Oryctolagus cuniculus: one gene and its partners. The protein of the gene in region 1 interacts with the protein of each later gene in a pairwise test. Links are inferred from orthologs where the notes say so. Each region holds a gene or a part of one and is shown on either strand. Other genes may lie near its edges.

Region 1 (4,751 bases):
CCTTGGAGCACTGGAGGGAGAGCTGCTGCACCCGGCTCTCCAGGGCCTGGCCCTCCAGGGACACGCTGCTCGGGCCCTTCCGGCAGCCGCCGCCGCCGCCGCCGCCGCTGCTGAGACCCCGGCTGTGGCTGGCTTTGTCACTTGTCTTATTTTCTGCCCCTTCCGCCCTGTCTCCTGGGGAGATAGAGAGAGCTCAAGTGAGTAGATGGGCAGGGGCCAGGAGGCCCACTCAACCCGCGGGGCTCCAGGGGCTGCCCACTGCACAGAAAGGGCGGCTCCCACACTCGAGCCCTGGAGAGCACAGGGCCTGGGCTCTGGCAGGAGCCCCCTGGGGAGCACGGCAAAGGCGCACCCGGGGCCCAGGCGCCTGGCACTGGGGGGACCCTGAGACCCAGCCGAGGGGTGGAAGGGTACAGAGTGGCCTGCCACAGCGCGAGGCTCCATGGACAGGGCAAGGCTGCAACTCACCTCGTTCCACCTCGCACTCGGGGGAGGAGGCCCCGCTGCACTCACTGCGGGGGCCCAGCACTGGGAACATCAGCCCGAACTCCGACAGGGACACGGGGCTGGGCAGGTCCAGGCTGCCGGGCCTCGCCACCGCAGGGAACGGCTCGGCTGTCTCCGACGGGCTCGTGGGTCCGGAGCTGAAGCTGGACACCGACTGCGTTTCTGAGTCATCTTCAGACACGAAGTTGCTGCAGGTGTCGTCTTCAAAGGCCTCCGAGGCCACTGGGGCGAGGGGACAGTCAGTCACACGGGTGCTGACGGTCACCTGCCCCTTCGACTTCCCCTCCCAGGGTGCCCTGCTTCAGACACAGCGCAGGGAACACACTGCGGCCCTGCCAAGCCTCTCCGCAGCCGGAGCCCTGACATGAGGTCCTCGCGATACCCGTAACCCTGCCCTCCACCTGGAAGAGCAATCAGCGGCAGAGCGGCCCTCTTGTCCACCTGTGTCCCTGAGACACACAGCTGCACAGGAAGGGGTCTGGCCCCGCCCACGCCAGGCTGGCCAGCTCCCCTCTGGCCCTACAGGAAAAGCAAGAGCCACTGGAAGACTTGGCCCTGCGGAGCCTGCAGCTGGGGGTCTTTGTTAGCCCCCGCTAACTCCTGAGCTCCGCAAACATGCACTCAGTGCCTACCTGGGTCCCTGTTTGCTCCCTCCGCAGGGCTCTGGAGCTCCGCCTGCCCTGGGGACCAGGACCATCGAGGCCCAGAGGCAGGGCCCTGGCCTCGTCTCCAAGTCTCCTGGAGCCCGCACACAGCCCATGTGTTACTAGGTCTTTCCTCCTCCCTCGCCTTTAGAAACAGCCTGGCAGCTCCCACAGAGAATTACTCCAAATGACAAGGGCTTCAGGAACGTTGGGGACACAAAACAGGCTCAGACCTCAATCCAAACCCCAACTCCACACCTTGCTGAGTGGTAACCTAACTTCTCTGGGCTCCAGCTTTCTCTCCGTGGAGGATTAATGAGCGGTAATTCACACACAGTCGCTGCTTAGATGATGGTTCCCTTTTCCCTGAGAACTAAAGAAGTCCTGGGGAAGCGCCCATGGGCCTTGTAGCACAGAAAAGAGGGGTGCAGGCCAGTGCCGGAGGGGTCTCCTGATTCACCATGAGAAGCCAGGTCAGATCTGTTGGGTCCCTGCCTGCCACGCGGGAGACCAGTCTGGGATGACTTCCAGACTCACGGGACCCCAGCATCCTGGGAAGCCGTAGCCTGCTGAGCTCTGAGACCCTCCGTGCCGGCCACAGAGGATGGGGACCTGGGAGCGCACCGCACGGCCCGACTCACCAGAGACGGCGTCCGGCTCTGGTTTGCTCCCCGCCAGGCCCTCCGCAGCCACGCTGCTGCCCTCCGCGCCAACGCCACAGCCGCGGGGCCCCATGGTGCTGGAGCGCCGCCGCTCGTGGATCTCGTCGGAGATCATCTCCAGGTTCTTCAGGGCCGTCTTGTACTCGCCTTTTGCCAGGCTCAGCTTGGCCTGCAGCTCGTCCACCGCCGCCTTCAGCAGCTGCACAGGAAGGGAGAGGCTCGGTGAGTGAGGGCGCCCCCTGCTGACCTCGAGCTGCACAGGTGACAGGTGCAAGCACACGGCCCCTGCCCATCACTTTGGGGATTGCCAACACACGAGGGAGGAAAGACCTGATTCCTCCCATCAGCCCCCCGACTCCCACCAGGGGACAGGCTCCAACAGCCCAAAGCCCACCCCAGCAGGGAACAACAGTCTGGCCGTCCTGGCCATTTGGCCCCCAACACAGTACTTCTCAAACATGCGCTCATGTGGAGGCCCCACTCCCAGAGTCTCTAACTCAGCAGGTGCAGGGCGGGGCCTGGGAGCCTGCCTTTCAATCCTGGGGCCCGCACAGGCTGCTGGTCCCAGGAGCACACAGTGCGAAGGCACAACCGGGCCCAAGACAGAAAGGGATGGAACAGCCCAGTCCAGGAGCTCCCGGGAAAACCACAGCCCAAACTGCATCCTGGGACAGCCCTGCTGCATCACAAGGCGGGGGCCGAGGGGCAGGAAGTCCCACCCGCCAGGAAGCCCCAGGCCACACGTACCTCCAGCTGCACGTAGTACTTCGCCTTGAGCTCAAAGTAAGGCCTACACAAGACAAGGAAGAAAGCGTTCAGAGTACCCTGGTGACCGTGACAGAGACCCCCACGGCTGTAGCAGAGGCCAAGGGGAAGGAGGGCGAGGCTCCCAGCCACCACCCGGGGTACACACGGCGGTGGGGGAAGCACAGCAGCACTGCCCACCTTCCCCTTGCCCACAAAAATGCCACGGACGCCAACACCTGCTGCTCAGCAGAGCCCAGAGCGCCCCCTGCAGGCCGTCTCCCTCACTGCACCTGGACCCCACCCAGGCCCAGGCCCCTCCCGGCTGGAACTGGAGTCCAGGGCCCCAGGACAGGTCTTTCTGGAGCCCCGCAGGTGCACCCTGCTCCAGGTCTCTGGCTGGCAGGCCATCCCCAGCCCCGCTCCTCTCTCTTGGAGGCCCAGCAATTTCGCAGGAAGCAGGGGCTTGGCGTGGCCCGGAGAAAGAGGGCGAAGGCCGCACCAGACTCACTTGGACTTGTTGATGGCTCTCTTGAGCTTCTTCTCCAGCTGCCGCATGCGGCCCATGGCGGCGTTGTACCTGGCCGCGGTCTCCTTATGCACCAGCTCGCTCCTCGTCTTGGTCTGCTCGGCCTCCATGACCTTCAGACAAGAGCAGGGGTCAGCCCGGGCAAGCCCAGAACAGCTGCTGCTTGGGGTGTGCCTTACATCACTCTGTAAAAATACGCTTTGGGGAAACGAGCAGGCAGAGAGAAACCGGGGCAGGGGCTGATGGCAGACAAACGGCCAAGCAGCACCAGGGCAAAGAGCAGAGCCATCGAGAAACTGGAAGGAGAGTCCTAGAAAGACGGGGCACCAGCAGGCACAGGGGCCCGTCAGGCTGCTGCCTGCAACGCTGGCACCCACGTGGGGCGCCAGTTCAGTCCAGCGGCTCTGCTTCCCACCCAGCTTCCTGCTGATGCGCCTGGGAAGACAGGCGATGATGACCCAAGGAGTCGGGCTTCTGCCGCCCATGTGGGAAGCAGGCCTGGAGGACCTGGCTCCTGGCTTCGGTCTGGCCCAGCCCTGGCTGTTGCAGCCACTTGGAGAGTGAACCGGATGGAAGATCTCTGGTCTCTCCCTCCCTCCCTGTCACTCCGCCTTCCAAGTAAAACATCTTAAACAGAGACGCAAACAGGTGTGACAGCAGTGTAGCCAACGAGGCAATCCCGATTTCGGTTGTTTGGGCCTTTCCCAAATGTCCCAAATTAGCTGGCCGGCCACAGAAGAATCCAGGACCTGGAAGGGTCAACGTTAAACAAAAGCCAAGTCGCTCCGATCTGATTTCAAGGCTTACAAAGGTTTATGACCAGGAGACCAAAGTTCTGGCAGGATGTCCTGGTGGGAACATTTTGTTAAGCCTGGTGACTCAAAGGCCATCGGTCCAGGGCCCTCAATAGCACACACCCAGAGACGGGGGCCCGGCCAGCCCTCTGCCCGGCCTCCTAAACCCAAGCAACAGAACAAGGCCTGCCTGGAGGAGAGGAGAAGCACCTGGCCACAGCGACAGCTTCCTAACCCCTCTCCATCTTCCACCAACAGCTCACGCACGCTGATCTGGGGTCTTGATTGTCCTGTGGAGCCCAGCAGGACACTGCAGGAAGGGGCCGCTGTGCCCAGAACTTAAGGTTAAGAGTGAGGCCCCCCACCTGGGAGGCCAACGTCCTGCCATCTCCTCCTGGCCAGCAGCCACGGTCAGCCACGGCGCACTGCGTTGTGATAAGGACTCTAAAGGCTAGCAGGGCAGGTCACGAAAGGCTTACTACAGGCATGAAAAAGTTGGGGGGGGGGGGCGGCTGTGGTGTAGCAGGTAAAGCCCCAGCGTGCAGCCCCAGCATCCCGTGTGGGTGCAGGTTCAAGTCTCAGCTGCTCCACTTCTGATCCAGCTGCCTGCTAATGTGCCTGGGAAAGCAACAGAAGATGGCCCGAGTGCCTGGGCCCTTGCACCTGTGTGGGAGACCTCCAAGAAGCTCCTGGTTTTCAATCGGCCCAGCTCTGGCCTTTTAGGGAGTGAACCAGTAGACGGAAGACCTTTCTCTCTCTTCCTCTGTGTGTGTGTGTTTGTATGTAACTGCCTTTTTTTTTTTTAAGACAGAGTTACAGAGCCAGGTAAAACCAAAGAGAAAGGGACAGAGAGACAGAGAGGTCTTCCATC
Region 2 (5,788 bases), on another chromosome or scaffold:
GAAACCCAAATGGAGTTCCAGGCCCCTGACTTCACCGTGGCCTAGGCCTGCAGTATTTGAGGAGTGAACTAGCAGTTGGAAGATCTCTCTTTGTGCGTGTGTGTGCGTGTGTGTGTGTTGGCATGCCACTTTGTCTTTCAAATAAATACTTTAAAAAAAAACACGCACACAAAGAATTACTTCTAACTATTCAGCCTGACAGGACAGATTTAAGAAAACTTCAATATTATACATATAAACATGAAAGTGGTAAATTGACTACAGTGTTACGTTTTTATATCTTAGAAAATTTTGTTATTATTTTGCCTGTTTTCCTCAAATGAGCTAAAAATATTTTCACATTTTTATTAAAAAGTCAGTTCAGCCGGCGCCACAGCTCACTAGGCTAATCCTCCGCCTGTGGCACCAGCACTCCGAGTTCTAGTCCTGGTTGAGGCGCCGGATTCTGTCCCAGTTGCTCCTCTTCCAGTCCAGCTCTCTGCTGTGGCCCGGGAGTGCAGTGGAGGATGGCCCAAGTGCTTGGGCTCTGTATCTGCATGGGACACCAGGAAGAAGCACCTGGCTCCTGGCTTCAGATCAGTGCAACACCGGCTGCAGCAGCCATTTAGGGGATGAACCAACGGAAGGAAGACGTTTTTCTCTCTCTCTCTGTCTCTCTCTCTCTGTCTAACTCTTCTTGTCAAAAAAAAAAAAAAGTTCAAAGTGAGGTTCTCATAGCTACAACCCAATTACAGGACTGCTATTGTCTGCACTCTAGCTTATCCAGGTACACGTAAAACTCTAGAACAAAATTAAAAGTAACTCATTGCAGACAGAAGACGATTTGGAAGACGAGCTCTATTTTAAGTGTGACTAGCCCTAAGTTTTAATCCTAAATATACTAATATACAAATAAATAAAACTAATTACATTTGTTAGTGATTACTTATAAGGAAGTCAAATGGAAGTAAAATTAGAAATGCTAAAATTTGTGAAGCAATGTTAAAATAATCAGATTTGGAATAAAGTATGGGAAAGAACAAATCTGGGTTGACTTTTTAAATCAGATGGAGCTTTCATTTAGCGTGAAGACAGAGCAATGGTATCTCATTTAAAACAAGCAAGACCCTCGAAGGAGTACCTAGTTGGATGCAAGCCTGTTTATGATTCGCTTCACTGCACTCCTGAGAGCAGTGTCGATGTATGAAGAATGGATCGTGATCTAATAACGATTTCCTGTATTTCCCACACCACTGGTCAGGACCCACCTAATGGATCACAAGCAGTAGTTGCTAAAAATGAAATGAAATAGAATACAACGTAAAATATCAGAGCATAGCACATGTAGTAAGGGGAAGTACAGTTTCATGAAACTTTGTGTGTATTTCTAAGTATGGACTGCAATTTAAAAAAATAGTGAAAGTTACTCTTACATGTAAGCTCACTATTACTTCTCTTCCTAATAGATCACGAAAATCAGAAAACCTGCACTATAATTACTCACAAAATGAAAAGTGACTTTAAATCAGGGACAGTGTATGCTCATTAAAGCTTGATTTCACAAGTTCTAGAACCCAAGTGCTTGAACTTAAGGTTCAACCACCTCCTGAGTGAATGCAAATTTAAACAAGATGTGCTACATGTTTAATACCTGTAAAATGAGGATAATATTATTTCCCAAATTGTGGTAAGAATGAATAATACAGTGAGATCTTTACATGTTTACTATTAACAGAACAAATTGAAGGAGTGACTTATATCAGAAATGTAGCAAGAAACTTAACAGAGGGTATCTTTGGTGTGTTAGCTTTGATGTTTCTGTGTGGGGGTGGTGTTTTTCATTGTATATCTTTCTGTCCTACTTGGATTTTGTAATGTGTTTTTAAGGTGTATAATTTCAGTGTAATATTTCTGATGTTTAATTTTTTGTCTTTGTTCTATATGTCCCTGTAATTTATAAAAATATATTAAGTGTTTTTAAAAGAAAATAATCAACAACTTGCTAAACAAGAGAGAGAGAGAGAAGAAGGAGGACGAAGGAAGGGAGGGAGAGAGGGAGGGAGAGGCAGATAAAGTGCAGTACCCAGAGTTAGGAGTTCCCACTTTTTTCCTAGATGTCATATGCCGCATACTCCTTACTAGATCTTCAAATAACCTTAATCTGTTTTTGCCCATGAGATTTAAGGTAAACGGCCTGCTAGACAAATAACAAAACTTCAAAGCCTGTATTTCTTCCATTGTCACATAATGCATCCAAATATTTTTCTCCCAGTTGTTTCATGCAGGCATATTCTGGTCTCAACTGTACAGCAAACTTCTTCAAAAGAGGGAGGTGCCAAAACTTCGGTTATGTCTTTTATTAATGTATTTTACGAAGATCAACAGGAAAAATCTGTAAACGCCTGCGGAGTTACATTAAACTTCTTCCGATCTAGACCGTCCTCAAGGGACAGACCCTTATTCTGAAAACAAACTGGCCACAGCGACGACAAAGCGACTCCAAAGCCGCCCAAATCTTAACTTTATTCCTGTACACTCGGAACGAAAAAGTTTAAGTACTTCCAACTATCCCGCGCCTGCGACTACAGGGAGTCTCGTTAGAGGTATCAGTTTGCAAACAGTAAAGAACGGACTCACACCTCCCCTCCCACACCCCTGGCACCCAGGCGCTCCCTAAAGAAAGGAACCTCTGGTCTTCCGGCGAAGAGTGGACCGGCCGTGGCCACGCCCCCACTTCGCCCCATCATAATTACCTGTTTTTTCATAGCCGGACCCCCGGCCCTGACCCCGGTACCATTAATAAGTAATTCAAAAGTCTGACCTGCAGCGAAGTGCAGGGGAGAAGACTTCCGGCCGGCCATGTCCTTTGCATTGACGTTTGCCGCGTCCACCAGCCTCTTTACCCTGGACACGTCCCCATTGCGACAGGCCTCCAGCAGTTCCCGTAGGGCCCCACTCACTGCTGGGACCCCTGTCCCAGGTCCCGCTGCCCCAGGTCCCAGTGTCGCTGTGTTGCTAACTCCGGCTGCCTCGGGGCTCTCCGCCAAGCTCGATCCAGGGGAGGAAGGAGAGGAAGAGGAGGAATACGTCGGGGAAGAAGAGGACGACGGTGAATTGTTACTGCCACCGCCGGCTGGATTGGGAGCGACCCCGACGGCAGACGAAGCAGAAGCCGCCGGGACCGCGGCCGCAGCGGCGACGGTACAGATTGTGCTGGTGGTGCTGCAACAGCTGGTACTGTCAAGTGGGTCCGGGGATTGGGGCCTGTCGGGCGGATCCCGACTTCCATCCCCCTCCGGCAGCGCTAGGCCGTGCCGCGGGGAAGCGAAGGGGGCCAGGCCACCGGCCGTTGGGGAGGCTGGGGTGGTCGCTGGGGCCAGGCCGGGACTGAGAGGTGGGGGAGGTGGCGGCGGCGGCGCCGAAGCCCCTGGGGCGGGCTGGAGCTGTTGTTGATGATGGTGGTGATGATGCTGAGAGCGACGCGACGCCGCCATCTTCGGACACCCCCAGCTCTGTCACTGCGGCAACGGCCCCACCGCCCGCCCTCACTTCCGACCTCTGGGCCAATCAGCAGTCAGCGCACAGGAACTGATGCTTGGCGGGGTGGGCGGGTCAAAGAGAAAGAGGGAAGTATTGGGAGCTCTGAGAACTTCGGAGGCGGAGGGCGTGGCTTCGTGACTGAGGGGCGGGCTTTGTGACGACCCGGCGGGCCGGCGAAGAGATTTGAACGCTGGAACCAGGTTCTCCCTGCATTTCCCACCTTCCGCCTGCTTGCCTTGCCTTGCTCAGTTCCGTGCCCTAGTCTCCTAGAGCCTTCCTTGTGTTGCTCCAGAGTCAGCAACTGAGGCGCAATTCGGTGCAAGCAGAGAATGTTTTTCATCATCAGGTCCCACCTCACAGAATCGCCTGCAGGATTAAATGAGCTGATATAGACAAAATGCTCCGATTGTCAGTAATATGTAGCTGTCATCAGCCCACTGGTAATTTTTTAAAGCGGTCTTTCTTCCCCAGTTATTCCCTTGGTCTCTTGTTCCTTCCCTACAAGGTTGTTTTTGTTTTTGTTTAAGATTGATTTATTTATTTGAGAGGGAGAGTTACAGACAGACAGAAAGGTCCTCCATCCATTGGTTCACAGCCTAAATGGCTGCAAGACCTGGAGTTGGGCTGATCCGAAGCCAGGAGCCAGGAGCTTCTTCCAGGTCTCCCACAAGGGTGCAGGGGCCCAAGGACTTGGGCCATCTGCCATAGCAGAAAGCTGGATGGGAAGTGGAGCAGCAGGGACTCTAACCCACGCCCGTATGGGATGCCGGCACTGCAGGTGGCAGCTTTACCTGCTATGCCGCAGGACTGGCCTGACCCCTACAAGTTTTCCCACTCTATGTGTGTACTTTGTTAACCTAACATTTTTAACTGGTGGTTCAGATTGCCAGGACCGGAATTCAAGCTCTGGCATTTACTAACGGTGTAAATTCGGGCAGACTCTAAACAACCAAGCACTCCGTCTTGCAGTGCCCCCTCTGTAAAATCGGAATAACAATAATTCCATAAGTGCTAAGTATTAAAATTATGATTTTTCCTCTTCTATTACCTCTGTACTTTTATTTCCTACAGCAAATTTGACTATTTATGAAAGTTATTTTTTAGCTTGGCCTCTCTTCCCTTCCATTACTCTCACCCCACCCCTCTCTCCCCCTCAAACTAAGATGAAAACCTGACCGCTGTCCCTCACACACCTTCATAAATGCAACTTTTCGGTAACTATGTTTTCATTCTCCTGCCTATACCTACTTTTTCCATTGGCCATCAAAAGAGACGTACCCATGAATGGGATAGCCTCCTGGAGATCTCCATCTCACACTGCTTGTTCCGTGGTGAAGCAGGGATCGTGGAAGTAGACACAAACTGCATTATTCCAGTAGAGTGGGCACAGATGGGAAGTCCATGTCCTAAGAAAAAAAGCAAAGTTCAGATAGATCAAGCAGAATATTAAACCAGGAGAAAAATAGTTATTTCATGTGTCCATTGTTAAATATAATTAGTGTAATATTAATACTGCCACTTAAGTAAATGAATTAATTTGTTGGGGACAATCAACTAAATACAATAAAAGCAAGAATGTAGTATGAGTGACATTTATTTTCACGTAATCTTGAGGTTACAAGTTTTAAATCTGACCGTGTGTCTTACAAATGTGTGCTGTTGTTTACAATAGACACTGCAAAAATTGAGGCTGCATATGAAAACCCCCATCAGTGAAATTAAAATCAGTCCACCACACATCTTCCTGCAGAACACAGGATAGCATCCGGGAGAGGAAGATCAGCACGGCACGGTGGCTGTCCAAATCACCGTGTGGTCCCTAGACTGTGGCCTTCTTGCATGTGAAGCTTAAGGAATATCTCATCATGTCCCCCAGTGGCCCGTTATTCATAGATCACAGGAAGAAGTAATGTTTAGGCTAATGCAAAATGCATCTGTTGCATCTGTTTAGCTGTCCAGAATAAGAAAATCTCTTTTGGACAGAGACAAACAGATTGAATTGCCTGAATTTGCCTCTACTGGCAAACCGTATCTGAAAATGCATTTGATCAATTGAAAATTGCTTTTTTCCTCCTCCACTGGGGAGTAGTAAAAGTACTTAACATTAAGTATTTATAAAGTTTACAGCTTTATATGGACTGATGTTGAACTCTAAACATGAAAGGGCAGTTATCATTATCTAATCTGTGGTTAAGCATAATTCCACGAGGGACACATTATACCCTAACGAAACAGCACAGCGTGGAGCCAAACCTGAGCTTGAATCACA
Region 3 (6,047 bases), on another chromosome or scaffold:
CTCTAGAGATGTTTAAAACAGAAATAGGGGTGTATGAAATCGGGATAACTTAGCCTCACCCACCAAAGAGTAAAGATCGATGATGTAATTCCTACAGTATATAAACATGAATACAGCACAAATGTTTCCCAAAAGTCTGAATATTAAGCTAGCTCTTTTAACGTGGGAATACAAAAAGACTGAAAACTTTCAAGAGAAATTCACGGCAGATGCTTTACCCACTCCCACAGACAGAAGTAGATTTCCTATCAGGGATATGAGCCCTTATAAAAGAATGATCTGCAGTCCCCATAGTGTAGATGGAAGAAAACAGGGCCACCATAGGAAATCTTCAGTACATTAAATAAAACCCAAATACAAGGAAGATGTCCAACATAATTTTAATTATGCCCAACATAATTAAAGGAGCATGATATCACTGCATGTCAAAAAATCGTTTAAATTCTAAAAATATGCTCTGAAGATGAAAAAACTTAAAAATACTTCAACAAAACCACATCAAACGGTATCTACTCATCATGTCTACTGATGTTTGCTCAGTAGTAGTAAAATCCTTCCATCTCAAAATAGTACTTCCACATGTAAAGTCATACTTGGAAAAATCAAGACAAAGGAGAGTACTTCAGACTCTTCCAGGAAACCCTGCCAGTGCCAAGCGTGCGTCACAAGCCGAGTGAGGTCTTCCCACTTGCTCCTACAACTTGACACACAGTTGTTCCTAGTGCGCCCCAGAGATGCTCCTCACGGAAAGCCGCAGCTGTGCGGCCGGCCAAGTGACAGCGGCTCCTCCACTGTCCCTGTGCTTCCCAGCCCCTCAGATGAAGGTCTGGTCGGTCACTCCAGGGACGGCAGAGTTACAAAGAGCTTAACCCAACAGAATTCTGCACCTGGTGTGTAAGTCAGAACAGCTAAACCTCCTGTGACATCAACACAGGATATTTCTTACAACATAGTAAATCCAAAACGTCTGGATAACCCTTGTGAACAATACTCGCAGAAGTCTTCATGCAGTACCATTTTTCACAATCAGCATAATGAGGAAGCCTGAATCCAAAAAGCCCTATATTTCAAATGGCCCTCCATTAAAGAAACTCAAAATAATGCACATACAGCGCATGCATTTACAGGAATGTGTACTCCGCAGAGTCACATTAGGACATTAACTTGGATTCATTAGAGTTTAAAAAAAAATAAATAAAAGCAGGCACACCCTTGGCTCTGAAACACAGACCTCCCCTTCCAGTTAGCAGTCTGAAATTTCCCTTTTCACACACACAGACTCAGAAGAGTCTGAGCTGACATTTGCAATATATGCCACTTGCCAAATCCCACACTGAACAACTGGATTATAAAAATGGCATGTAGAGGGGAAGTGCCCTGAGCACTAGCTGCAGCGGAACAGAAGAGAACACTGGGAATCATCTGCTGACCTTGGTGGCCTCCCCTTCCTGAGCCCTCCCCAGTCGCATCTGCTAAAAAATACACATGCACCAAAAACATATAAACAAACATAAACGCAGCCCATTACCATCGCAATCCCATTAGTCACGCCTGGAGATTGAACTTGGCTATCTGAATCAAGACATCTGAACACCAATTTACCATCACTCATCTACCTAATGTTCCTTAATAAGGAATCCAACTAGCTTAGTTGTATCTGACTTAAAGAAAACGCAAACGGTGAAAACAAACACAGGTTAAAGGAATCATTTACTACCCATCAGAAAATACATAAATTCATTTTCAAACGACTCCCTGAATCTGAACGCCAGTATTTTTTTTATGTCTCTGGAGCATAAGAACCACAATACATTAACCATCTCATTTTATAAAAATGGTTTCCTATAGGAAAAATTCATATTCTGTTTGTACCGACCAAAGACAGATGAGGGCATTGTAAAACGTCATGTCATAGCTGTGCAGGTCCGATTAATAAACAGCAACTTTTCCCATACGAAGAAATCGATGTCTAGCTGGGCTGCGGTTAGAGGTTATCGACGATCCACAGGAAGACGCTGCGACTCCCACACCAGCTGCACCAGCGTCCTCGAACATCCCTGGGCCCTGTCCTGCCTGCAGCCCCTCCCTAGGGCGCCGCTGGTCGGAGATCAGATTCCGGTCCGCAACCCTCAGCCTGCATTAGTGCTGCAGGGCACCCCTCCGTCCCCGCACAGCCCAACGGGCAGGGCGGGAGGGGGTCATCCCGACCGAGCGGACTGTCCCCCCCTCCTGTCTAGGTGGCCTGGTCCTCCCGACGCCTCAGCGTGCAGCTGAGGCAGCATGACGAGGTAGAAGCGCCGCGGGCCCCGCCAAGGGCAGCCCGGGCCCTGGGTGGGGCCGGGCGGGGGCCGCAGGCGCCGAGTGGCCGTGCCAAGCCCCGCCGGCGAGACCCGGGGAAGCTGCGATACTGCAGCATTGTGCTGCATCACGGCGAGAGACGCGAGCCATCCATCTTGCCAAAAAGGAACATCCCCGCCCAAACAAACCCCACCGAACCCATTTCCCCCCCTGCCCACGCTCGCCCTCTCCTCTCTCTCTAGCTGGCCAGGCTTTGGATGAGAAAAATTACGGACAATGCTTGGTGTACCGATCCCCGCTCCTCCCCCCATCTGATAGCAGCACCTGGCACCTTTCCTCCCACAAAAACAAAGGGAGGCTCCCCCCCCCGGAAAAAAAAAAAAAAAGCAGGCCGCGGGCGTGGTGTGGGGGTGACGACGAGAGGGGCGTCCAGCCCACCTCGCAGGGCAGGCCAGAGGGTCCCCGCGCCGGTACAAACCTGTTGAAGGCAGGGTGGCAGGAGCTGCAGGGCGGGCGCGGCGGCGGCTCCGCGCCCCGAGGAGGCTCCCGCCCAGCCCTGGGGGAGCGGGGGCGGGCGCGGAGGGGGCGGCGGGCTGGAGGAGGGGGCGCGAGGGAGGACGCCGGCAGCCGCCTCCGGCTCAGCTGCAGCGCGGCGCAGCCCGGACCACGCCTGGCCGCATCGCCGGTACCGTTACGCGCGCAGCCGGGCCCTGTCAGCGCCGCCCCCGCTCCCCACCCGCCCGGCCCGAGGCCACCAGAAAATCCCGCACCAGCCCCGGGCCAGGGGCTGCGGCGCCCCGCCGGAGGGAGAGAGGGAGGGAGGGAGCGGCGGCGGCGGCGAGGAGGGATCGGCGCTGCGGACCGGGAGGTGGGGAGCGAGCACGGGTGTGTGTGGCCGCCTCACTGCGGAGCTCGCCGCCCCCCGCCCCGCATCACCCTAGCACCGACGAGCACCGGAGACCCAAGCTCCCCGCGTCGCCCCCGCCCGGACTCTGCAGGCTCCCCGCCCCCACGCCGCTCCCGGGGCGCAGGGCAGCGGCGTCCTCCGGCCCAGGGCCCGCGCCCCTCCTCCCGCCCGCCCGAGAGGCAGCCCCAGTGAGTTGGCATCTTCTTGCCTGGGGGCCTCTACCTACCTCCAGGGATGGGGTGGGGGCGCCGGGGTCCCGTCCTCCTCCCGCTCCTCGGCGGCCGGGCGGGTGGGCCGGGAGGCGACTCCGCGGGGCTGTCCGCGGCTGGGGCCGGGGCTCACAGGACGGGACCGGTGGGCGCTACGGCGCGGGTCTGCGCGCTCGCTCCGGGAGGAGAGGCGGCCGAGGGAGGGACTGGAGGAATCCGCAGCCTGCAAGGCAACAGCTGCACTGATTCCGGGGGCTGGGCGGGAGCGCGGGGGGCGGGGGGAGGAGGGAGCTGGCAGGGAGGGGGCGAGGGGCGGGGAGAGGGAGCGCGGGCACAGGCGCGGGCGCGCACGCGCGCGCTCTCCCGCACGCCCTGCACCCGCCTCTCCGCCGCCTCCCTCGCTCGCGTGGATCCTCCCTTTCGCCTGCCCGCGGCTCCGGTCCGCAGCCCCGCCGCCGCCCACCCGGCGCCTGCTCTGTGCGGGAGCCGACCGCCAGGCGCGTCCACGCACGCAAGCCGAGGTTTTTCCGGGTCCCGGCGGCGGGGACCAGCCAGGACGGGGTGGGCACGGCTTGCCGCTGCTACCCGCGCGGAAGGACAATGAGGGCTTTGTCCCCACAGCGTGCGAGGGCCAATTTCACGTTTAATTTGAGGCTAATTCGATTATCGCCATGGAAAGGGGCAGCCTAATTTTCTCGTGACTCGTGCAACCTCTTTGCGCCCGCGCTGTGTGCGTTTAGGACACGATCCGGGACGGCGTGTTTAGGCAGGTCTGGGACCTGCGTTGGCTCAGCAGCTCCTGGATTTGGGTGGCGACGCCTTTTGGGTTCGCCCGGCTTACAGGATGGCGGCGACATCTCGGTGGGAACCCTTGAGCTTTGCGGGAGGGAGAGGAGTTTCTGGGCGAGGATGATGGGGTCCTCCTCTGCCAGTGCTTTGTCACCTGCCTTAGTAGCACAGCCCACAAGTGGTTGGCCCGACTCCTGCCTCTGCCGCCGGCGCGCAGGCTCTCCTGCAACCTGAAGCCAGGTGCACTTCCCTTTGGGGCTGCTCTCGGTAGGGTCGCCCTGGCGCCGGTGGGCGACCTCCGTCGGTTCGAGGACTGGCACTGCTCCCGTCCGTGTTCTCGGAGACGTTTCCCCGAGTGTCTGTCAAGGGCCAGCGCCCCTGCCCCCACGGGCTGTCACACCCCATCAGCCTCAAGGCTACGTTAGGAATTCTGGAACCGCTGCTATCGGAGTAGAAAAGATGGTGGCATCACCGTGACCACGGATAAAACGCTCTGTAGAAAACACGGTCTGGGGAAAGTGACATCCTGACTGCTCTGTAAGGTGCCCACCGTGGGTTTCCAAGTGGGTTGACGAACGCCAGGGCTCTCCCTCCGCCCCACCCCGATAACCCAAGAACAGAATGTGAGAGGGTTCCATGGTTTGGACCATGCCTCTCTCAGATCAACAGAACCCTGCCTGATGGGTTGATATTTACAAATAAGGCTAAACAGAATCATCACGGCAAATTGGACGTGACTCTCCCCTTTCAGGCCTTTATCATCGGTGTCAATGTTTGTGCCAATGTTTGCTTTAGATATATATTTTTAAAATGAGGAAGGCAAATCATTTAACATTTTGCTCAGAAGGTCACAAGGTCGCCAAGGGCGAGGTACTCAAGAAATATTCGTTGGATGGAGCAGAATCCACATGTGAGCTGCTCCCTACATTAGGTAATACAGGAAATCCACTAGAAATGAAAGTCCTTTCCCTTTCACTTACTTATTTGTCACCATGGCACCCCCACACCTCCGTCCCCACCCACCATGTCAGAATACAAAAAAAAAAAAAAAAAAAAGGGACCACACTGACCACACTGAGAAGGACCTCTTTTTAAATTCTTCCCATGTCATCCTGAAGTGGTAATTCTTAAGTGCTTCCCTTAATGACATAACAGTGCTAAAATACTTGGATAGATGACTCACTTCTCCTACTCTGTTCCACCCCCACTGAAATTTTTAAGATTTCCTTCAGAAAGGACGACCACATGCAACTTTAGCCCAGTACTCTAGTCAAGAGCCACTGTGATGTGGCCAGGGATGTGAAAGACAAAGATCCCAAGTTTGATTATGGTTACCTGAAATTCTTAGCCTTGGGTGGAAAGCATCACCCAGGCGAGCTCATGTACCACTGACCAAAAAGAAGTTATGCAGAGTCTGAATCTACAGAGATTGTCAGAAAAGACATCTCTGTGAAAGGCAAAAACCTAGAAAAAAGATGAAAAGCTTTGATAATGGCAGCAATTCAGAATTGTTGCAAAATATCTCAAACAGGTTTGGGTTGAGCACTGTAGTGGTGAGGGTTAGGCTGTCACTTGGGATGCATGCAGACTTGGGATGGGTGCAGGTTCAAGTCTCAGCTACTCCACTTACAATTCAGCTTCATGCTAATACACCCAAGAAGCGCAGATGATCTCTCTCGAGTCCCTTCCACTCATGTAGAAGACCAAGAGAGTTGTAGCCATTTGGGGAGTAAACCAGCAGATGGAACATTTCTCTGTATCTCTCTGATTCTCCCTCTTTCTGTCACTCTGCTTCTCAAAGAAATATTGAAAAAAAGAAAGAAATGGAAAGAAATAAACAGCTT
Region 4 (6,111 bases), on another chromosome or scaffold:
AAGAAGCTCCTGGCTCCTGGCTTTGGATCGGCGCAGCTTCAGCTGTTGCAGCCATTTAAGGAGTGAACCAGCAGATGGGAGACCTCTCTCTCTGTCTCTACCTCTCTCTGTAACTCTGTTTTTCAAATAAATCTATTAAAAAAAAAAAAAAAAAAAAAAAGATGCCCATGCCACAAATCACAGTGCCTGGTCAAGTCCTGGTTCCTCGGCTTCTGATTCCAGCCTCCTGCTAATGCTCTCTCTGGAAAGCAGCAGATGGTAGCTCAAGAACCTGAGTCCTTGCTAACCAACTGGGAGACCCAAAAGGAGTTCCAGGGTCTTGGCTTTGACCTGGCCCAGCCCTGGCTGTTTGCAAGCATTTGGGGAGTGAACCAGTAGATGGAAGATCTCTCTCTCTCTCTCTGTCCTTCAAATAAAGTGAACATAAATAATTTTTGAGCTATGACAGGGTGTTAAACAAAAAACTGATATCCAAGTTAGTCCTGAGGAGATGAGAAAAGCTGAGGTTTACAGAGCCCTGAAGGATGAGCGGTGTTGCGCCAGGTAACGAGGGCAGTCCAGGCACCAGGAATAGGAGGCCCAAGGAGCCTCAGGTAACAGACTGCAAGGTGGGCACATATACAAATAAAATAGTCTCATAAGTCTGAAGGAAGAGTTCCAGCTATGAAGATATCCACAGAAAATGTCCAGCAAGCAGGTGCAAATACAGGTGTTGAACTACCAAGAGCATGTAGATATGAAACATATTTTCAACTTTGTCTTAGGTGGCTTAGACTCCCTGCTGGTAGACAGTTGGATAAGAATTGGAAGATACATTTATCAGTCAGACTGTACACTTCTACCTCCTCCCATCATTTCTATTCCAAGGGCAACTCTGTTAGAGTCAAAAGCCCCTTTGTGTAGAGGTGGGCGTTTGGCCTAGCTGCTAAGCCAGAGTTTGGGTTCAATATCAGGCCCTGGCTTCTGATTCCAGCTTTTGCTAATATGGACTCCAAGAGGCAGTTGTGACGGCTCAAGTAATCGGGTTCCTGTCACCCACATGGGAAACCTGGAGCTCCCAACTCCCAGCTTCAGTCCTCGCCATTATGAGCACTGGGAAAGTTAGCCAGCAGAGGAGAGCAAGGTGTTCTCTCTCACTCTCCCTCTCTCTCCACTGCCCAAACTTTCAAGTCAATAAACACCTAAGCATTGTTTTATGTAAACAAGCAAAGGGGACTGCTGAGGACTTTGTAAACGCCAATGTGCACCTGTCTAAAGACGGCAGCTATCCATGCACCCGCAGCAGGTCACTGGCTGGCTTTTCACGTGGGACCTGAGTGGAGAGATTTTTCTTCAACAAAAGCTGTGAATTCAGATTTTGTGTAATATCTCCCATGTGTAAACACTTAACAATAAACAACACTGTGCCAGCCAAACAAAACTCTTCTGAGGACAGATCCCAGCAGGGCCCCCCACGTGGCAGACAGTGAGTCTGCCAATTCTAATGCCATTCTTTGCACTACTTCCAAGGATCCTCAACCCACAGACCGGTGGTTCCCCTGGGATGGGACCTGTAAGCTTCTAAGCAAAATGACCCCAAGTGAGTAATGCTTCATGAGGCTTTTTGGGTATGTTTTCAGACAACTGTTTTATTTTCCTCTACCCTGATGGAACACCAGCTTCTAGCACCACTGTGACCTCCTACTCCCCTTCTATCACAAGAAGACACACTTGCAGGCAAAGCACAACTAAACAGATGGAGAACCTGGTAGGAGTTCTAATGAATGAAGTATACCGATAACACACACACACACACACACACAAAACACACTTTATTAGAAAACACCAAAGAGATGTTAATGACTAGCCAAACATTTGAGGGGGAAAAGTTGGTAGTTCAATCCTTAATATATGAGCAGATTTTGCTAACTAAGTAGGTTCCACTGTAAGACTGCAAAAGGGGGAGGGGGAGACCAGGGCAAAAAAAGAAAGTAAAAGCTTCTGGCCTTGGATAAACTCAGACACCTTTTAAGACACTGTGTTCAAGTGGAAATGTTTACCATGAAAGACTAACCATAACCCCAGCCCTCAGGAGGAGCAAAGCTGTATTTTAACCAGATCTCATGAAACATTCTTTGGGCAACAAGAAACTGGGATTTAGACACACAGTTGAAAGCATAAAGCCACCCCACCAGAAAAGGAAGAAATGAAGAAAAGGAAACGAAAACAGTCCAGTTGTTTTTAAACTCACACACCAGTTTCTGATGTTTTTAACGTGCAGTGTTTGTCACAACGTTGCTTTACAAACAAAATGTAGCAACATTTCCTATATAACTTTAGATAACAATGTGGCCAACGTAAACATACAAAACAGAGGTTAAAAATTCTAACCCAAATGACATCACCAAGATTTTCAACCGTCAAAAAATAATAAGTCTGAAAATACTGGCATGTGTAGCAGCTCCTCGTTAATCGGAGGGGGTGCCCAGGAGAACGCAGAGGGAGCAAAGCAGGCCATGCTGCCGCCGGCAGGCAAGCTCGCAGCAAACATGATGGCCAGAGCGTTATCGGGCCAGTGAAAGGAGCGTCCCGGACACTTCAACCGGGAGGCTGACAGCAGCTCGGCAAAGAGACCGGCCAGGAGGAGGGGTGGCCTGCGCTGACCTCCGCTGAACCCCGGGGCTCCCCCGACTGCTGTCTCCGACCCTCTCCCCGCGGCCTGCCTTCCCACACACCGGGGCACGTCCCCGCCGAGCGCCCGCCGGCTGCGGAGGGACCGGGAAGAAAGGCGGCCCTGCCCGCGCGCGCCCCGCCTCCCCGGCCGGGCTCCGACCCGGCGCCCGCCTCGGGGGCTGCGGCCGGGCAGCGGGGTTCCCCGCGCTCCTCACCTTCTTCAGCGCAGGCACCAGCAGCCCCCGCCACTTGGGCGCGTTCTCCTCGCTGAAAAACTCGTACGGCAGCTGCTGCGCCTGCATGGTGCCCCCGGGGCGCCTCTGGGCGGGGAGAGGGGCGGCGGCGACGGCCCGGCCGGGAAGCCGCGAGAGGGCGAGCTCGCAGCGCGGAACAGGGCCGCGGCCCCTCCGGACGGCCCGGCCCCCTCGGGGCGCCGCACGGCCGGGCTAGCCCCGGAGAGGCGGCTGCGGGACGAGGCCCGCGCGCGGCCACCCGCCCGACACCGGCACCAGCCGCGGAGAGCGAACACGGCCCGGAGGTGGCGGCGGCGGCGGCGGCATCCCGGCCGCACCACCGCCCTGGGGCCAGGCCCCCCGCCCCTCCCCGGCCCGCCGGCGCCGCCCCGAGCTGCCCTCCGCCGCGGCCGCCGCCCGCCCGCCCGCTGCCGGGGCTACGCTCCGCTCCGGGCCCGGCCTGCCCGGCCGAGGAGCTGGCGGCAGGGGGAGGGCGTGTGGAGGGGCGCTCCTGCCGCGGCGCCCGCTCGCCCAGCGAGGACTTCGACACGCTAGAGTCTTAGAGCGGGAGGGAGCTCGGGGGCGAGGAAGGGCCCGAAGTCGCCGCTGGGGTTCCGGCCGCCGGGTTGCACCGCGGCCGCCGCCGCCGCCGCCGCCGCCGGTGCAGCGCTGGAGCTTCCTACTAGCGAACTGAACCTGCGCGCTACTGAGCATGCGCCGCCGGGCTGGGCCGGTTCCCTCCGGGTTTTCCGGCTCCCGGTGAAGGAGGGAGGGCGAGGGAGGGCGCCGGGCCCGGCTGTGGCTGCGCTCCCGGGGGCTGCAGGGGAGGGGCGGTGGGGCCCGAGAAGTCGAACCCTGGCCGAATGGGGCCTGCGGGTGGGGGTGGGAGGCGAGCTGTGCTGAGACGGCCCCCATTGTGTGGCCGCGCCGCGAGGGATCCCACCCCTCTCTTGGAGTCCCCGGGCCTTGGTTTCGGAAAGGGGTGTGTGTGTGTGTCTGGGTCTGTGTGTGTACTTTGTTCCCGACCATGAGGATAAGGGCTGCTCGGAGCGTGCAACGTATAGTAAACAGACTGCACAAAGATAGGTTTCCCTCTGCTCAGTATTTGTCAGGTGGCAGAAGCGACTGCGATGTTTCCAGCCGGCCTTTCCACAGCAAGGGTAGAATGGGTGTTCAGGTTCAGCCTGCGCAAACCCACATCAGACAACCAACTCCAGTCAGTGCTTCCCTGCCCTGGAAAGTGGGACATCATACGCGGTTCCCAGGTTCCAGAGAACCTCACTTGGTCTGTTTTGCGTTTTCTATCTTCCCCGGCATTTTGGTTAGATCGTGAACGCCTGCAAGGCAGATCTTTTTCTCCAGGGAATGCTTGTGGAATGCTAAAGGTGCAGTGTATAAATTTGTCCCTCGGTTCCAGGGCTGCAGATGTTGGTTTCCAATACCACTGTTGGGTAGACACCTCGTGGTTTTCATTAAACACTAAAGTATCGCTCCCTGAGCCCTCACAGCAATCATGTTTTCATTTCACAGAGAAGACAGTGCAGAGGACTAGCCTGGGTTGAGCTGGCATTTGTGTCCTGCTGGTCCATGGAACAATAGCCAGGATCCCAAAGCTGAGAAATGTTTAAGCGGTGCATCTTAATCTTTACAGAACTTCTCTGAGAATCTGAATCAAGTCTTGGGCTTTTTCCTTTTAAAAATGGGCATGCCTGATTTACACTTTCAGAAGTGTTCAGTGACATTTTGAAACCCGTCAGTCAGTCCTCTGGAAGAGGAGAACCTACATTGTTTGGAGTCGAGTTGGGGGCGTCTCAGTGGAGAACGTGTTAGACCCCTTCCACTACCTACAGGGCTGATATAGGTGAAAAGGCTTTGTGTGGTTCTAAAGGAGTGAGCCTACACTGGTGGTCTGCTGCCAACTATTCCTTGGCTCTTCGTTGCTCTTAGAATACATTTCAGGCCAGCGCCGCGGCTCACTAGGCTAATCCTCCGCCTGCAGCGCGGGTACACCGGGTTCTAGTCCCGGTTGGGGCGCCGGTTCTGTCCCGGTTGCTCCTCTTCCAGTCCAGCTCTCTGCTGTGGCCCAGGAAGGCAGTGGAGGATGGCCCAAGTGCTTGGGCCCGGCACCCTCATGGGAGACCAGGACCAGGAGGAAGCACCTGGCTCCTGGCTTGGGATCAGCGCAGTGCCGGCCATAGCAGCCATTTGGGGGGTGAACCAAGGGGAGGAAGACCTTTCTCTCTGTCGCTCTCACTGTCTAACTCTGCCTGTCAAAAAGAATACATTTCAAACTTCTCATGGTATCCCACAAAGCCGTGCACCCGGCCATTTATATTCTCTGCGTTTCCCCACCACTCTCCGAGCACATTAGTCTCCTGCCTTTTGCTAGAAAACCCCATCCTCTTTCCTACTGCAAAATCTTTGCTCATTTCTAGGTCTCAGTCCCAACTCTTCACTTGGCTGGTTTTGTTTTTGTTTGTTTGTTTTTGACAGGCAGAGTTAGTGAGAGAGAGACAGAGATAAAGGTCTTCCTTCCGCTGGTTCACCCCCCAAATGGCCACTATCCGAAGCCAGGAGCCAGGTGCTTCTCCTGGTCTCCCATGGGGTGCAGGGCCCAAGCACTTGGGCCATCCTCCACTGCACTCCCTGGCCACAGCAGAGGGCTGGCCTGGAAGAGGGGCAACCGGGACAGAATCCGGCGCCCCGACGGGGACTAGAACCCAGTGTGCCGGCGCCGCAGGCGGAGGATTAGCCTAGTGAGCCGCGGCGCCGGCCTACTTGGCTGGTTTTAACAGCCAGCACCGCAAGCCCTGGCTAATTACACGCCTCAATTTTGCTTGTTGGTCTCCCCCAAACTCCAGGAGGTCATCCATCTTGCGAATCTTGCTCCTCGTTGTATCCTCAGGACCTATAGCGCCTGCACACAAGGGGTGCAAATTTTTTTATTAAGGAATATAGAAAAGTTGCATGGAGAAAACTTTTCACTAAGACGATATAAAGTATTTGTCCCAGGAAACGAGCGCCCTTCGGGGCTGTGCAAGGAAAAACCCTATACTCAACTCGCTCAGGATGCCAGGGAGGGTTCAGTGGTTGCAGTGAGCACCGATTTGGCTCCTGAGGAAATCAAGCCCTAGGAAACATGGATTACAGTCAGCTGGACAAGCTGAGAGGCCGGAGCAGGTTTTCACTAGGGTGCAAGTCTCGGCCACAGCCAGAGCAAGCAGCT

Evidence for each region. The genes of interacting proteins can lie anywhere in the genome.
Region 2: the proteins of SH3BP5 (region 1) and TNKS interact in a two-hybrid assay, tested with the Homo sapiens proteins (2 studies listed by BioGRID and IntAct). The link is inferred for Oryctolagus cuniculus from reciprocal best matches to the Homo sapiens genes SH3BP5 and TNKS.
Region 3: the proteins of SH3BP5 (region 1) and SPTBN1 interact in a two-hybrid assay, tested with the Homo sapiens proteins (2 studies listed by BioGRID and IntAct). The link is inferred for Oryctolagus cuniculus from reciprocal best matches to the Homo sapiens genes SH3BP5 and SPTBN1.
Region 4: the proteins of SH3BP5 (region 1) and SOS1 interact in a two-hybrid assay, tested with the Homo sapiens proteins (2 studies listed by BioGRID and IntAct). The link is inferred for Oryctolagus cuniculus from reciprocal best matches to the Homo sapiens genes SH3BP5 and SOS1.

What each region holds. Positions count from the first base shown.
Region 1 is NC_091435.1:150,923,626-150,928,376, forward strand, and holds part of SH3BP5 (SH3 domain-binding protein 5), read right to left. Parts: intron 3,200-4,751; coding exon 3,069-3,199; intron 2,604-3,068; coding exon 2,561-2,603; intron 2,013-2,560; coding exon 1,793-2,012; intron 730-1,792; coding exon 469-729; intron 175-468; coding exon 1-174. UniProt on the Homo sapiens protein: Functions as a guanine nucleotide exchange factor (GEF) with specificity for RAB11A and RAB25. Inhibits the auto- and transphosphorylation activity of BTK. Plays a negative regulatory role in BTK-related cytoplasmic signaling in B-cells.
Region 2 is NC_091433.1:79,201,920-79,207,707, reverse strand, and holds the start of TNKS (poly [ADP-ribose] polymerase tankyrase-1), read right to left. Parts: upstream 3,573-5,788; 5' UTR 3,474-3,572; coding exon 2,801-3,473; intron 1-2,800.
Region 3 is NC_091433.1:148,184,447-148,190,493, forward strand, and holds the start of SPTBN1 (spectrin beta chain, non-erythrocytic 1), read right to left. Parts: upstream 3,573-6,047; 5' UTR 3,432-3,572; intron 2,891-3,431; exon of another isoform or gene 2,777-2,890; intron 2,334-2,776; exon of another isoform or gene 1,877-2,333; intron 1-1,876. UniProt on the Homo sapiens protein: Fodrin, which seems to be involved in secretion, interacts with calmodulin in a calcium-dependent manner and is thus candidate for the calcium-dependent movement of the cytoskeleton at the membrane.
Region 4 is NC_091433.1:163,752,030-163,758,140, reverse strand, and holds the start of SOS1 (son of sevenless homolog 1), read right to left. Parts: upstream 3,573-6,111; 5' UTR 2,955-3,572; coding exon 2,868-2,954; intron 1-2,867.